3 linked regions of the Cricetulus griseus genome follow. The protein of the gene in region 3 interacts with the protein of the main gene of each other region in a pairwise test. Links are inferred from orthologs where the notes say so. Each region holds a gene or a part of one and is shown on either strand. Other genes may lie near its edges.

Region 1 (3,743 bases), on a different chromosome or scaffold from region 3:
GGTGTTGTAAGAGCCAGCAGTGTCTCGGGCAGCGCAGCTGGTGATTGTAGCCTGGCCACTTACAGGTGATCTCCGTCGTGGACTCAGACATATAATCCAGAGAGGAGTCAGAGTGACAGGCAGACATGGGATCAGGCGCGGTGCTGCTGCCAGCCAGCTCTGAGGCCGGTGTCTTCTGACCCTGCTTGTTGTTCTTGGAACCCACATCCCCTGGCTCACTGGGGGCCTTATTGTCAGCCTGGTTAGGGTCAGGAGGTGGGCTAGGCGACTGGGCCCTAGGTGAGCCTTGGTTGGAACTACTGACATGCTGTATGGAGGTGGGTACCGACGTGGTGGCTGCTGCTGCCAATCGACTGGCCAGGCTTGATGCTGGGGCCTGAGGGAATTGTGGGTTGTTTCCTGGGTACCATACTGGTGTCCGAGCAGGTGCTGAGGACCGGGCTACTGGCTGGGAGGACCCCCCAGATCGCATGGCTGAGAGGGTCCCTGGTTGAGAGGGTGTACTGGGCAGTCGGGTACGCTGTGTAGGCCTAGAATTCACACTGCCCCTGCTGCGAGGGGCCCAGATCTTGTTGGGAACCTGGGAGTTGCTAGCAGCAGGGGCCAGCTGGGCCCGGGACGCAGAATCGGAACCTGGGCTGACTGGGGATGAGAACTGCCCGTTCATGGCTCGTGGCGGGCTTCCTACTATCTTGGTTGGGCTTGAAGTTCGGCGTTGGTTTTGGATCTCTGTCTGGGAGTCCGAGGAGGAGGAGTCCAAGGAGACCTGGGCGTCAGCTGTGTGTCCCTCCTCCTTGTCACTGGGCACAGGCTCCAAGCACAAACTGGCAGGAGACTTCAATTGTGTTTCAGGAGCGGGGTCTGGCTTGACTTGGCTGTGGAGCGGAAAGGCATGGTATGTGAGGGTGGACGCGACTGGCCGGGGAGCGGGAGGGAATGTGCCACCAGCTCAGTTGCAGAGGCAAGCTGGTCACCCATGCAGACATCTGAACACACACCCAGCACGCTCTGCCCCTGTGGGTGCATGCACACACTTGTCCAGGGATACCTGCAGTATGCACCATACATACGCACACAGATGCAGAACCACACACAACATAAACACAGAATGCACACAACCCCTGCATAGTCCCTCCTGGGCATTACATACGGTTCAGTTCCAGAGTGGTTGGGGGCTCCGTTGCTGATGCTGGGGTGATGAGAGCTCGGCCCCGGGCTAGGGCCTGCAGGACTGGTTCCCGACAGCCAGAGAGAGAGAGGCGGACAGTAAGAGAATAGCAGAGCTATGCAGGGGAGTGTAGCAAGAGTCAGGTGTTTCAGGGCAGGCGGATGGACAGACAGGCAAATCCAGGCAGGGGGACAGACAACAGAGACAGGGTCAGTTGAGACCCAGGAGCCAGCTGGGGCGGGGTGACATTGTCAGGCCTGTCATCCCAGCACTAAGGAAGGCAAGGTGACCCTCAGCTACTTAGTGAGTTGGAGGCTAGCCTGGGATACATGAAATTCTTTTTGTCTCAAAATAACTGAACAAGCCATGTGTGATGGCACACACCTTTAATCCTAACTGTTGTGAGGTGTAGATAGGCAGATCTCTGAAAGTTCCAGGCGAGCCTGGTATACATAGTAAGATTCTGTCTCAAAAAACAAACAAAAAACTACCCAAAGAGAAAACAAACACACCCCCCAGAATCCAGATCACACCCACTGGGCATTCACCCCTAGTACGCACCGTCCCGGGTTATTCCCGCTGCTATGTCCAATGCTCTTCCGCTTAGCTGGCTCACTGCGTTGTCGAGGGCCACGTGGTGTTTTAGAAACAGTGGTCGTATGACGCGATGGTACAGTATTAGAGCCCCGTTCCATGGTCCCGGGCTCATGCAGAATAACAGGAAGGCGCACTGTATGGGGACACACCATGCCATCACACAGGGCCGTGCCCCACACATGGGGACACATCACACTGTCACACAGGGCCCTGCCCCACACATGGGACACATCACACTGTCACACAGGGCCCTGCCCCACACATGGGGACACACCACACCTCACACAGGGCCCTGCCCAACACATGGGGACACACCACACCTCACACAGGGCCCTGCCCCACACATGGGGACACACCACACTGTCACACAGGGCCCTGCCCCACACATGGGGACACATCACACTGTCACACAGGGCCCTGCCCCACACATGGGACACATCACACTGTCACACAGGGCCCTGCCCCACACATGGGGACACACCACACCTCACACAGGGCCCTGCCCAACACATGGGGACACACCACACCTCACACAGGGCCCTGCCCCACACATGGGGACACACCACACTGTCACACAGGGCCCTGCCCCACACATGGGGACACATCACACTGTCACACAGGGCCCTGCCCCACACATGGGGACACATCACACTGTCACACAGGGCCCTGCCCCACACCTCACACAGGGCCCTGCCCCACACATGGGGACACACCACACCTCACACAGGACCCTGCCCCACACATGGGACACACCATACTGTCACACAGGGCCCTGTCCCACACATGGGACACACCACACTGTCACACAGGGCCCTGCCCCACACCTCACACAGGGCCCTGCCCCACACATGGGACACACCACACCTCACACAGGACCCTGCCCCACACATGGGGACACACCACACCTCACACAGGACCCTGCCCCACACATGGGACACACTACACCTCACACAGGGCCCTGCCCCACACATGGGACACACATCCTCACACAGGGCCTTCTCCCATATGGGAACACACCACACTGTCACACAGGGCCCTGCATCACACATGGGGACACACCACACTGTCACACAGGGCCCTGATCCAATTCTTTGCCCTTCCCCAATGGGGAAGATGGCCTGCTCACCTTGCCCGCGTAGTAGAAAGGGAACCAGAACAGGAGTAGATCGCTGAAGAACTCGACTAGGCCGAACAGAGCGTACACCACCCAGTAGGTTAGCCACACAGTGTCGTCTTCCTTGTTTGGACTCTCGATGGCTTTGACTCTGTCCAGATGGGAAGACACATATCTTCTTTGGTGGTCCCTGGGACTCCCAGAAGCCTCCCCACCCCTGTGGACTGCCTGCTCACTCACGAAGCATATGCGGGGTATACAAATCCGATGACATTGCACAGTAGAGCGGCCCCGTAGCCGAACAGAAGATACAGGCTTAGAAGGGCGAGGGCTCCTGTAAAGACAAGAGCAGCATGCAACCCTCCAATGCAGTCTGCAACCTGCACCTCCTTCCTGGTGAACCCTCGATCTCATGTCTGTTGTATGTCCCTCATGGGGTGGAAGTGCCTCAGAGCAGGCAAGGACCTCATTCAGCTCTGGGATGGGATTCATTTTTGGGCCAAGGGTTCTTTTTTCAGGCCTGGTGTTAGTGGCACATGCCTTTAATCCCAGCACTCGGGAGGCAGAAGCAGGTGGATCTCTGTGAGTTCAAGACCAGCCTGGTCTACAAGAGCGAGTTCCAGGGCAGCCTCCAAAGCCACAGAGAAACCCTGTCTTGAAAACAAAACAAAAAGTTATTTTTGTTCTTCTTCGAGATAGGGTCTCACAATGCAGTCCTAGCTGGCCTCAAACTCATGGAGAGCTGCCTGCTTTAGGCTTCTGCGTGCTGGGATTAAATGCAGGTTCTGCTGTGTTGGCTAATGTTTTTGCTTTTTTCAGATTGCGTCTTGCTTTGTAGCCCAGGCTGGCCTTGGACTCTAGCTC
Region 2 (4,329 bases), about 120 Mb from region 3:
CACAAAACCATGAAGCTAGGTCCTTTAATTTACTTATGTCCTTTGGATGAAGCACCATTGGGGTTTGTTTATTTGTACCCTATTTATGACAGTGGTTCTGTCACTGTCACTTATCCTCCTTTATTCTCCCTGCACTTGTCACCAGACATAAGTTTATTATACATCTATTTACTATTCTTTGTTTTCCTTACTCGATGTTAAGGGCCCTGAGAGCAGTCTACTATGTGCCTGCACCTCCAGCCCCTGCCTGGCACATCATAAGCAGTCCCTATCTATTTGTCGAACACATTTTTAAAAAATGCCTGGTGACTTCTCATCATTTAAGCCTCAGGCTAAATGTCACCTCAGCAAGCAGGTCTCCCATCTTCCCTTGCCTGCCCTCATGCTGTTCCTCTCTGAGGCAATACTCCATTTTATTCTCCTAGCTTGTCTCTATCTTTGAAGTCCTTATCCTCAGTTCATTAACTTGTTTATGGTGTGCTCACTTCCTTACCCCTATACAGGCTGCACCAGGACAGGAATCTTGTCCCTGTTTGTTTAACTCTGTAGCCAAGTGCCTAGACCAGTGCCTAGCTCATAGCTAGTGCCTGGCACAAGGCTGTCAGACCAAAACAGACAGAAGCGGTGACCACAGAGGCAGTTGTAGCAATGGTGCTGGCTCCTCTGTCAACACTCACCTTTTGGACAACAGAGTCAACAGAGTTAGAAGCAGACTCTTTATCAGACAGTGGTTCATCCAGAGACTGTGTCAAAGATGGAGGTCTGGAGCTTGGTGTCTCAGATGTTGACTGTGTCAAAGATGGAGGTCTGGAGCTTGGTGTCTCAGATGTTGACTGTGTCAAAGATAGAGGTCTAGAGCTTGGAGTCTCATCTGGTGACTGTGTCAAAGATAGAGGTCTAGAGCTTGGTGTCTCATCTGGTGACTGTGTCAAAGATGGAGATCTGGGTCTCAGGTCCTCCACTGGCTTTTTAATGGTTTCCAGGAAAATGGTCACAGGTTTGTCATCAATCAACATCTTGTGCTCTCTCTTTTTCAGTACTCCCTCCTTAGCTTCAGGGGAGACATTAAACACACATATTCACACAGGAATGAGAGAGAATTTACAGACGACCCTAGTGTCCTCTCTGGGTTGATTCTAGGAACTTCTGAGGACACTAAAATCCACAGATATCCCTTACAGGCTTTCATACAAGCCACCCATATTCTTCCATGTGCTTTTTTTTTTTTTTTTTTTTTTTTTTTTTTTTGAGATAGGGTTTTGCTATGTAGTCCTGGCTGTCCTGGAACTCACTATATAGGTCATGCTGGCTTTGAACTCTCAGACATCTGCTTGTCTCTTCCTCCAAAGTTCGGGGATTAAAGGAGTGTGCCACCATACCTGGTCTTCCATACACTTTTAAAATGACTTTAGTCCCTCATACAGGGTAAACACTATGGAAACACAGGCAATCTTGCATTGTTTAGTTGGAAGAACCCTAGGAGGTGGGATTGTTGTGTAAATTTCCTCAAGATGGAAACATTCCATCCCGCAGGGAAGCTCCTAAAGCAAGAAGGTAAACAACTTAAAACAGCTTCAGGAAGTCCCTGAAACTGACCAGATTCAGTAGGCTCCTCCCCGATTGAATAATCGATAATGATTGCTCAAAGTCCTTCTGACACTTAACAGAATAGAGATGCAAGAAAGATGCAGAAAAGTGGCTCTGCAGGGGAGATGCTTGTCCAAGCCAAGCTGCCTGAAAGAAGCAAAAACCTGCCCAGCTACCTGGAGGAGGTTTAGACCAACTGAGGCTCCTGGAAAGGACACTCTCACACCTGTTGGGCTGCCTGCAGGCTGTGCAGTGTGCTCCATATTCCAGCTTTGTGAGCTTGTCTGGGCTTTAATGATGCAACTGTCTTTGAGTAATTCCTGCTTTTGTAAGTGACCCTTCACCCATATTCCTGTAAGTAACCTTAATGAAACTCTTGGTTCACCAAGTTAGACTGTTACACTGTATCTGTACTGTGGCGGGATCCCTATCTGGGGCGAGTGGATATGTGTGCTGTATCTCCCAGGAAAAGTTTCCTATCACAATAAGAACAGAGGACCTGAGCAAGTTGTTCCTGTTATCCTGGAATAGCAGGGTTGATGGGAGAAAGTTATCCAGAACTCAAAAGTAGGCAGCTCAAGTTTTACTGTATAAAATCATTTGGTTATTAGAAGCCAATTTTCTAGGCATAGTGGTTTACTACCCATAATCCCAGCACTTAAACAGCAGAGGTAGGGGTGGGAGTGGGGGTGGGGGTATCACAAGTTCAAGGTCAGCCAAAGCTGCATAGCAATGGTCTGGAATTTCTCATTTCAATGACATACAACGATATTCACTGTATAGTTAAGTGGTGAAACCCCTGCCAAACCAAGAACCCAAAAGTTTAGAGTGATTTAAATGTATATTCATTAGCTGATTTCACAAAAACGAATACATGAAACTGTTCCCATTGTAATTTTTCTATTGACTTTTTAAAAGTTATCACATTTTATTTTGTAATCCTTAAAAACAAGTCAGTGGAATCAGTATGTATAACAGGAAAGTAGCTCTGTGGTGCAGCACTTGCCTAGCTAGCACAGGGCCCTAGGTTTCCGCCCCAATCCCCACCCCCACACACTTTCCTTTCTCCTCTCAAGTCGGTCTGCTGGGAAATTGGGCAACTCAGCTAGCAAATGGAAACCGTCCCTAGGAAACCTGGTCGGTGGCTGGGCCCAAGTAAGGCTCTATCCCCCAGGATAGAGGAAGTTATAGGCGGCAGCGGCTCCTACAGGCAGTGCCACACTCTCGTGGAAGCACGAATGGTTCTGTTCAGAAACTTTCAGGGTCCGCCTCTGCACCCGATCCCAGCCCAGTTCCCCTGTACCGGCTCACCTGCCCTTTCTAGGAACTTCACCTCGAAGGTGTCGGGGGCGTTGGGGCCCACGGGCTGGACAGTGCACTCCCCGCCACCCGAGGCCCGGCTCTGGAAGTATTTCTCTAGCTTCCTGTGCGCCCAGGGGATGGACTTCGGCAGCCGCACCAGTAGCGGGGACGACGGGCAGTTACTGGAAGCCATGGCAGTCCTCGTCTGGATCGAGTGGGGGAATCAGGGACTGTGTGCAGCCAGGACAGAGCAAAGGCGCGTCCTGTCCCAGAGACGGGGCTGCAAAGTTTCAGTTTCGTTTCTCAAGAGGTCCCTCCCTTTTCCTCACAGAGCCACCTTCTTTCTTTCTCTGTGGTCTCCTTTGCCCAGGTGAGTAGTTTGTACCCCGGGAGGTGGGCTCGTGGGGGAACTAATTTCTCCGGGGTCGCAGGTCGCCCTCTTCTCTTGCAAGATCGGAAGAGTAGCAGGAACCTGGATGCCAGAGCCAGGCCGTGTAGCAGAGTAGAGAGATTAAGTTTTCCCCATGTTTTGCGCTTCGAAACAATGGTTATGATTATTTTTTCTTTAGATACCTTTCTGAATTTAAGTTACAGTTATCTGGTTTCTTTGCAGTTGAGGGCGTTTACCTGCTGGATGACCTGTTAGATAGGCATTTAGGAGTTTTCTGCTCTAGGTTCGTATTTAGCCAATAGCACAGATCTATTCGCTGTCCCGAGTCCCCAGAGAGTGGGGCAGAGTAAGAACCTATGACGAAAACAAAAGCCAAAGGCCTCCAAGATCTGGTTTCAAGCAGAATCTTAAGGTGAGGTTGGGGAGGGGAGGAGAATACCCCAGACTGGGAGAGCTGTAGTGAGAAGTCTCTAAGGGCTCAGTCCCAGGCCTGGGAGCAGATGAGATGGGGTCAGAGAGAGGAAGAAGTGTCTTTGAGAATCTATAGTGGTGGCACACTCAGGAGACAAAGGCAGATGGATCTTTGAGTTCAAGGCCACCCAGGGTTACATGAGATCAGATCAGTTTAAAAGGGTAACAGAACTCACACCTTTAATCCCAGTACTCATAAGAGGTATTTAAGAAAAGAACTGGGTCTCGGAGCTGGCATTCATTCTCCAGCCATACACTGAGGAGAGGCAGCAAGCAGTCTGGGGCTTGGTGAGATCTGGTAGAGACAGGATCAACCCTTTCAGTGTGAGGGCAATATTCCTGCCTATGTATACCAAGCAATACGACTGGCAACTGCTTTTTTGATCTTCAGTGGCTTTAAAAAATTATAAACAAGCCAGGCGGTGGTGGCACATGCCTTTAATTCCAGCACTCAGGAGGCAGAGGCAGGCAGATCTCTGTGAGTTCGAGACCAGCCTGGTCTACAAGAGCTAGTTCTAGGATAGCCTCCAAAGCCACAGAGAAACCCTGTCTCAAACACACACACACACACACACACA
Region 3 (4,329 bases):
GAGACCTCTGTGCTTGTTTCCTCTCTGTGGGCTTCATCTTTGCTTCCCCAGAGCCTAGAATGGTTTGGCATTCAGCCCACCTGATCTGCTGACTATGAGATGACTGAGCTCTAAAGAGACCAAACCAGGCCCTCTGAGAAGCCCTCCTAATTCTGTTACTGCCCAGCTGTGAACTGCATATCCTTTGCCTGACTGTGCGATGCTGTAACAGGAACCTAAGGGAAGGTTCCTTCTTGCAGATTCTTATGGCCAAGAGCACTTGGCCCACCTGGAAAGGTTCAAATACATGTCTTGCGTGGCATTCCCCTGCTTTGAGGGCAGAACTAGAGTCCCTAGTAGGGATGAGGTGACAGTCCAGGACTTAAGTTTAGGCTGACTTTGAAAAAGCTCTCTGGCCTGGCAAGGGGCAGAGAATTCTAAACTTAATGGAACCCTTCCTCATTCTCTGGCCTCTTTCTACAGGGACACAACACTGGTCTGCTACCTTTGAGAATCACTACACTGAACTTCCAGGAGACAGTAAATGTAGACAGACCAATATTAAAACTCTAATTACAATGCTGATAGGATAGTGGTCTCTTATCTCAAAGCAAAGGAAATATTTTGAGAGGGTTGTTAAAATTGTAATTTTTTTTTTTTTGAGAAAGGATTTCACTGTGTATCCCCAACTGAGAACTCACTCTGTAGACCAGGCTGGCCTCTAACTCACAGAGAGCAGAGCCCCCCCGCCCCCGCTAAAACTGTAAATTGTTTTAAAACACAAAGTAAATTACCATCAATCTTATATTGAAACCATCGTGCACAGATTCAGTCATTAACACTAAAACAAAGAACACAATCCTTTGCAAAATCCATTTATCTTAAATATTAACAAGTTTAGTATCTAAGATGTTTAAACTATTTTTATATCATAACTTTAACAACTTTTAGAGATTCTTATTATTTGAATAGTTTCATGCAAAATGTAATATAGTCAATTTACCTCTTCTGTCTCCCTTAAGCTACTACTTTTTTTAAATGAAAGCAACTAGCAGTTAATTCTGAAATACTTTACACTAGGACACCAACTAAAGACATTTTCTAGAACAATTTCTGTAGGAGAGAATATCAAAAATATGTGAAACCACCAGATGATAGCGCACACCTTTAATCCCAGCACTCAGGAGGAAGACAGAACTCTGAGTTCAAGGTGTACATAGTGAGTTCCAAGCCAGCAAGGGCTACACAGTGATAGGTGAAACCTCATTTCAAAACAGACACACAAACAAAAACTTCAATCAATTTGTTAAAGTTTACTTCTAGAATCAACCCATTTACGGTAGAAATTATTCACAGTTTTAGAGTCAGGTGCAATTCACAAACCAAACCACAGCACAAACACGTAGGCAGGCACACAAGGACCCCGAGTCACCCACTTCTTTCCCATAGCAATGGGTAGAAGGTAGTCCTTACCAAAAGCCTTCCGTATAATTCACAACTACCTCAGTATTGCAACAGGACACGTTATAACTAATCTTGATGGGTAAGAGATTTTGCCCAGCTGTGAGTACACGTTTGTAAAGACAAGTGAGCCTAACACTTGTGCTAGTTCGGCAGTAATGAAAGGCGAGACAGTTACCAAATGTTGCATGTGACCAGCTGACGGCTATGAAGAAGAAGAAGAAGAAGAAAAAAAAAGCTGCAAAGGGAAAGCAGCTGTAGCAGTATGAAAAGGAAAGTTTGTTCTAGCTCTCTTTCATCCACTTAGGTCGGATGCTTTTCCAAGTCACAAAAGAAACATTGTGTCTATGGCCCAGAAAGTTAGCTGAGATTGTGACCAAACTGGTCAGGATGAAAAAAGAATGTGAGCGGTGAGCTCAGCACAGATGCGATTTCTCATGATTCAGTTCTTTACAAAAACAAAAGCACTTGTTCAGGCTGGTGAGGAAAGGGCCAGAGATAAGCTTTAATCATGATTAAGGAAACCCCTCCTCCGGGATGCTGAGGACACCTGGTCCTTTCTGGACTTTGTGTTGCTGGATGTGAGCATGCACGTGGAGTCTCAGCAGAACCTGCACTTTACAGCTGAGGAAATCAGCTTTACAAATGTTAACTCACATGGTCACATATGGCTGGTCCTTTATCTCAATCTATAGTGGACTTACATAGGGATAATCTGTGATTATTACAGCCAATAAAAAAAGCATTAGACCTTGAAAGCCTCTAGGTGACACAACTATGATTATCGGTACCAGGAACTGAACCTATGGCCTCGGGAATGCTAAGCATGAGCTTCTGCCACTAAACTACACCCAAAGAACCACAGTTGGCTATTTACTGCAGATCTTCACCCCACCCCCAGCACACCCATATGTATTAAATAGCTATCTTTCGGGGGCGATTTCTTCAGGGAAAATTCATCCCTCTTTCTCCAGGAACCTATCCACTTGTCTCTAAATGCCATGACAGGAGATGCTGCCTGCATGACATCTTCTGACACCTCTTCTCAAGATCCTGTTGTAAATGCCTTTTGAAAAATTCAGACAGTATTAGAGGACTTCCCAATCCTTAGAATCCTTGCACGAAGAGTAGCTGGACAATTGCAGATAGAGACAAAGCAACTGCATCAGCACCTAACAACTAACTTCCTGGGAAAAGAAAAACGAGACACTCGCTAGCCCTGCAATGTTTCTCATGACTCTCTAACAAGCCTCATGCCCGGTCTAAGGCAGGATCTCCAGAACTGGCCTCTACTCGCAGTCCTTAAAAGTTTACTGAAACCAAATGCTTCTGAGCTTCTGCCGCACAGCCCCAAGTTGGGTGGTACAAGAAGATGAAGATGTCCGGTTAAGGTTTTGGGCACCAACCCCCATTGGGGCCTCCCTGAGTCCCACTAGTTATAGCCATAGCCACACAATAGTGGACCCACAGGCACACCGACCATCCGCAATGAACCGAGGCTGGGCCTTAGACACAGACACAAACACACACGGATATGGATCACGTGCATGGTCACAAGGACCGGCCCACCCGTGGACGACACTCACTAGTCACGCATGCTCGATACACACCCACCTACAACCCTACACGCACCACACACCCTCACTCCGCTTTCCAAGGCCTGCCCCTCACCTGCCGTGGCCACCCCCGCGTCCCTTTCTCTCCAGCCCAAACGGCTCTTCGGCCCGGTTCGGGCGCTGCGGAGGCAGGCGGCAGGGCGCGGGTGGGCCGGGCGGCTGCAGAGCAGAGGCTCCGCGGGCGCAGCAGGTAGAGGGGGCGCGCGGCTGAGCAGCCAGAGGCCGCCGCCTCCCAGGTCTGAATCCCGTAGCTCCCTGGGGCGCGCCTCCCGCTTCCGGGTTCTGAGGGGCGGGGCCGGACAGCGAGGAAGGGGCGGGGCTCTGGCGGTAACTATGACAACGAGGCTGGCGTGGAGCCCCGGATGGGAGCTTCTGTGCTCGCCCGAGCGCAAATGTATTGGAGCAATGCAGAAGCTGGCGCCAGTGCTGGCGTTGGGTCAGGGTCCGTCCTAGGTCACCTGTCTGACATAAGCACCAGGAGAAAGCTATGGCAGTGAAGTCTGTGCTTCTGCCTTCAGTTTTCGGGTGGCTCGTGCTTCGGGGGAGACATCTTTGGGTTCTAGCTTTGGTGAATAGAGCTTGATGTATTTGGTTGGTTGGTTTGGTTTACTTTTTGGTTTTGGTTTTTCGAAGCAGGGTTTCTCTGTGTAGCCCTGGCTGTCCTAGAACTCGCTTTGTAGACCAGGCTGGCCTTGAACACACAGAGATCGTCCTGCCTCTGCGCACTTCCCGCCTTGTGCATGCGCTACCACCGCCCGGCTATATATTCTTTTTTAATTAGCATAAGTTAATTAAATCACAATAACGGCTTCATTAGGACATTTTCATATCTACATAAAGTATTCTGGTCATCACCCTGTTAGTCTTTATCTTCCTCTCATGCTCCCATCTCCTCCCTCTTCTTAACTACATACTTTTTCTCAACAGAACTAGTTTTCTCTGTACAGTTACAGAGATCCTCCTCAGACCTCCTGTCCAAACTGTCTCCTTTTGCGGCTTTGTGCTGATGTTGAGGGGAACATACTCAACACTAGGCTTGCCCTCAGACACAGGTCCTCTTCTGTAAGGCTCACTCTAATCACTGTTCTTACAAAAGAGGGTGCAGATGTTATGACTCCTTTCAGTAAGTAGTTTTGCTCTGAAATAATGTATGATCATATTGAATTATCTGTAAATCTTGTTTGAAAAATTTTAAGAATCTTATAGCAAGATCTTAGTGTTTTAAGGAGAACTTAAAAATATATCTTTTTAAAAAAATTTTATTTATATAGCT

Evidence for each region.
Region 1: the proteins of Spg21 (region 3) and Reep6 interact in binary tests that used the Homo sapiens proteins (3 or more experiments, as listed by UniProt). The two-hybrid records come from large-scale screens. The link is inferred for Cricetulus griseus from reciprocal best matches to the Homo sapiens genes SPG21 and REEP6.
Region 2: the proteins of Spg21 (region 3) and Dtx3l interact in binary tests that used the Homo sapiens proteins (3 or more experiments, as listed by UniProt). The two-hybrid records come from large-scale screens. The link is inferred for Cricetulus griseus from reciprocal best matches to the Homo sapiens genes SPG21 and DTX3L.

The regions. Positions count from the first base shown.
Region 1 is NC_048598.1:101,129,268-101,133,010, reverse strand, and holds the end of Reep6 (receptor expression-enhancing protein 6), read right to left. Parts: intron 3,214-3,743; coding exon 3,120-3,213; intron 3,031-3,119; coding exon 2,892-3,030; intron 1,899-2,891; coding exon 1,730-1,898; intron 1,232-1,729; coding exon 1,151-1,231; intron 876-1,150; coding exon 838-875; 3' UTR 698-837; downstream 1-697. UniProt on the Homo sapiens protein: Required for correct function and survival of retinal photoreceptors. Required for retinal development.
Region 2 is NC_048597.1:53,734,430-53,738,758, reverse strand, and holds the start of Dtx3l (E3 ubiquitin-protein ligase DTX3L), read right to left. Parts: upstream 3,113-4,329; 5' UTR 3,083-3,112; coding exon 2,899-3,082; intron 1,052-2,898; coding exon 678-1,051; intron 1-677.
Region 3 is NC_048597.1:177,058,618-177,062,946, reverse strand, and holds the start of Spg21 (maspardin), read right to left. Parts: upstream 3,331-4,329; 5' UTR 3,112-3,330; intron 1-3,111. UniProt on the Homo sapiens protein: May play a role as a negative regulatory factor in CD4-dependent T-cell activation.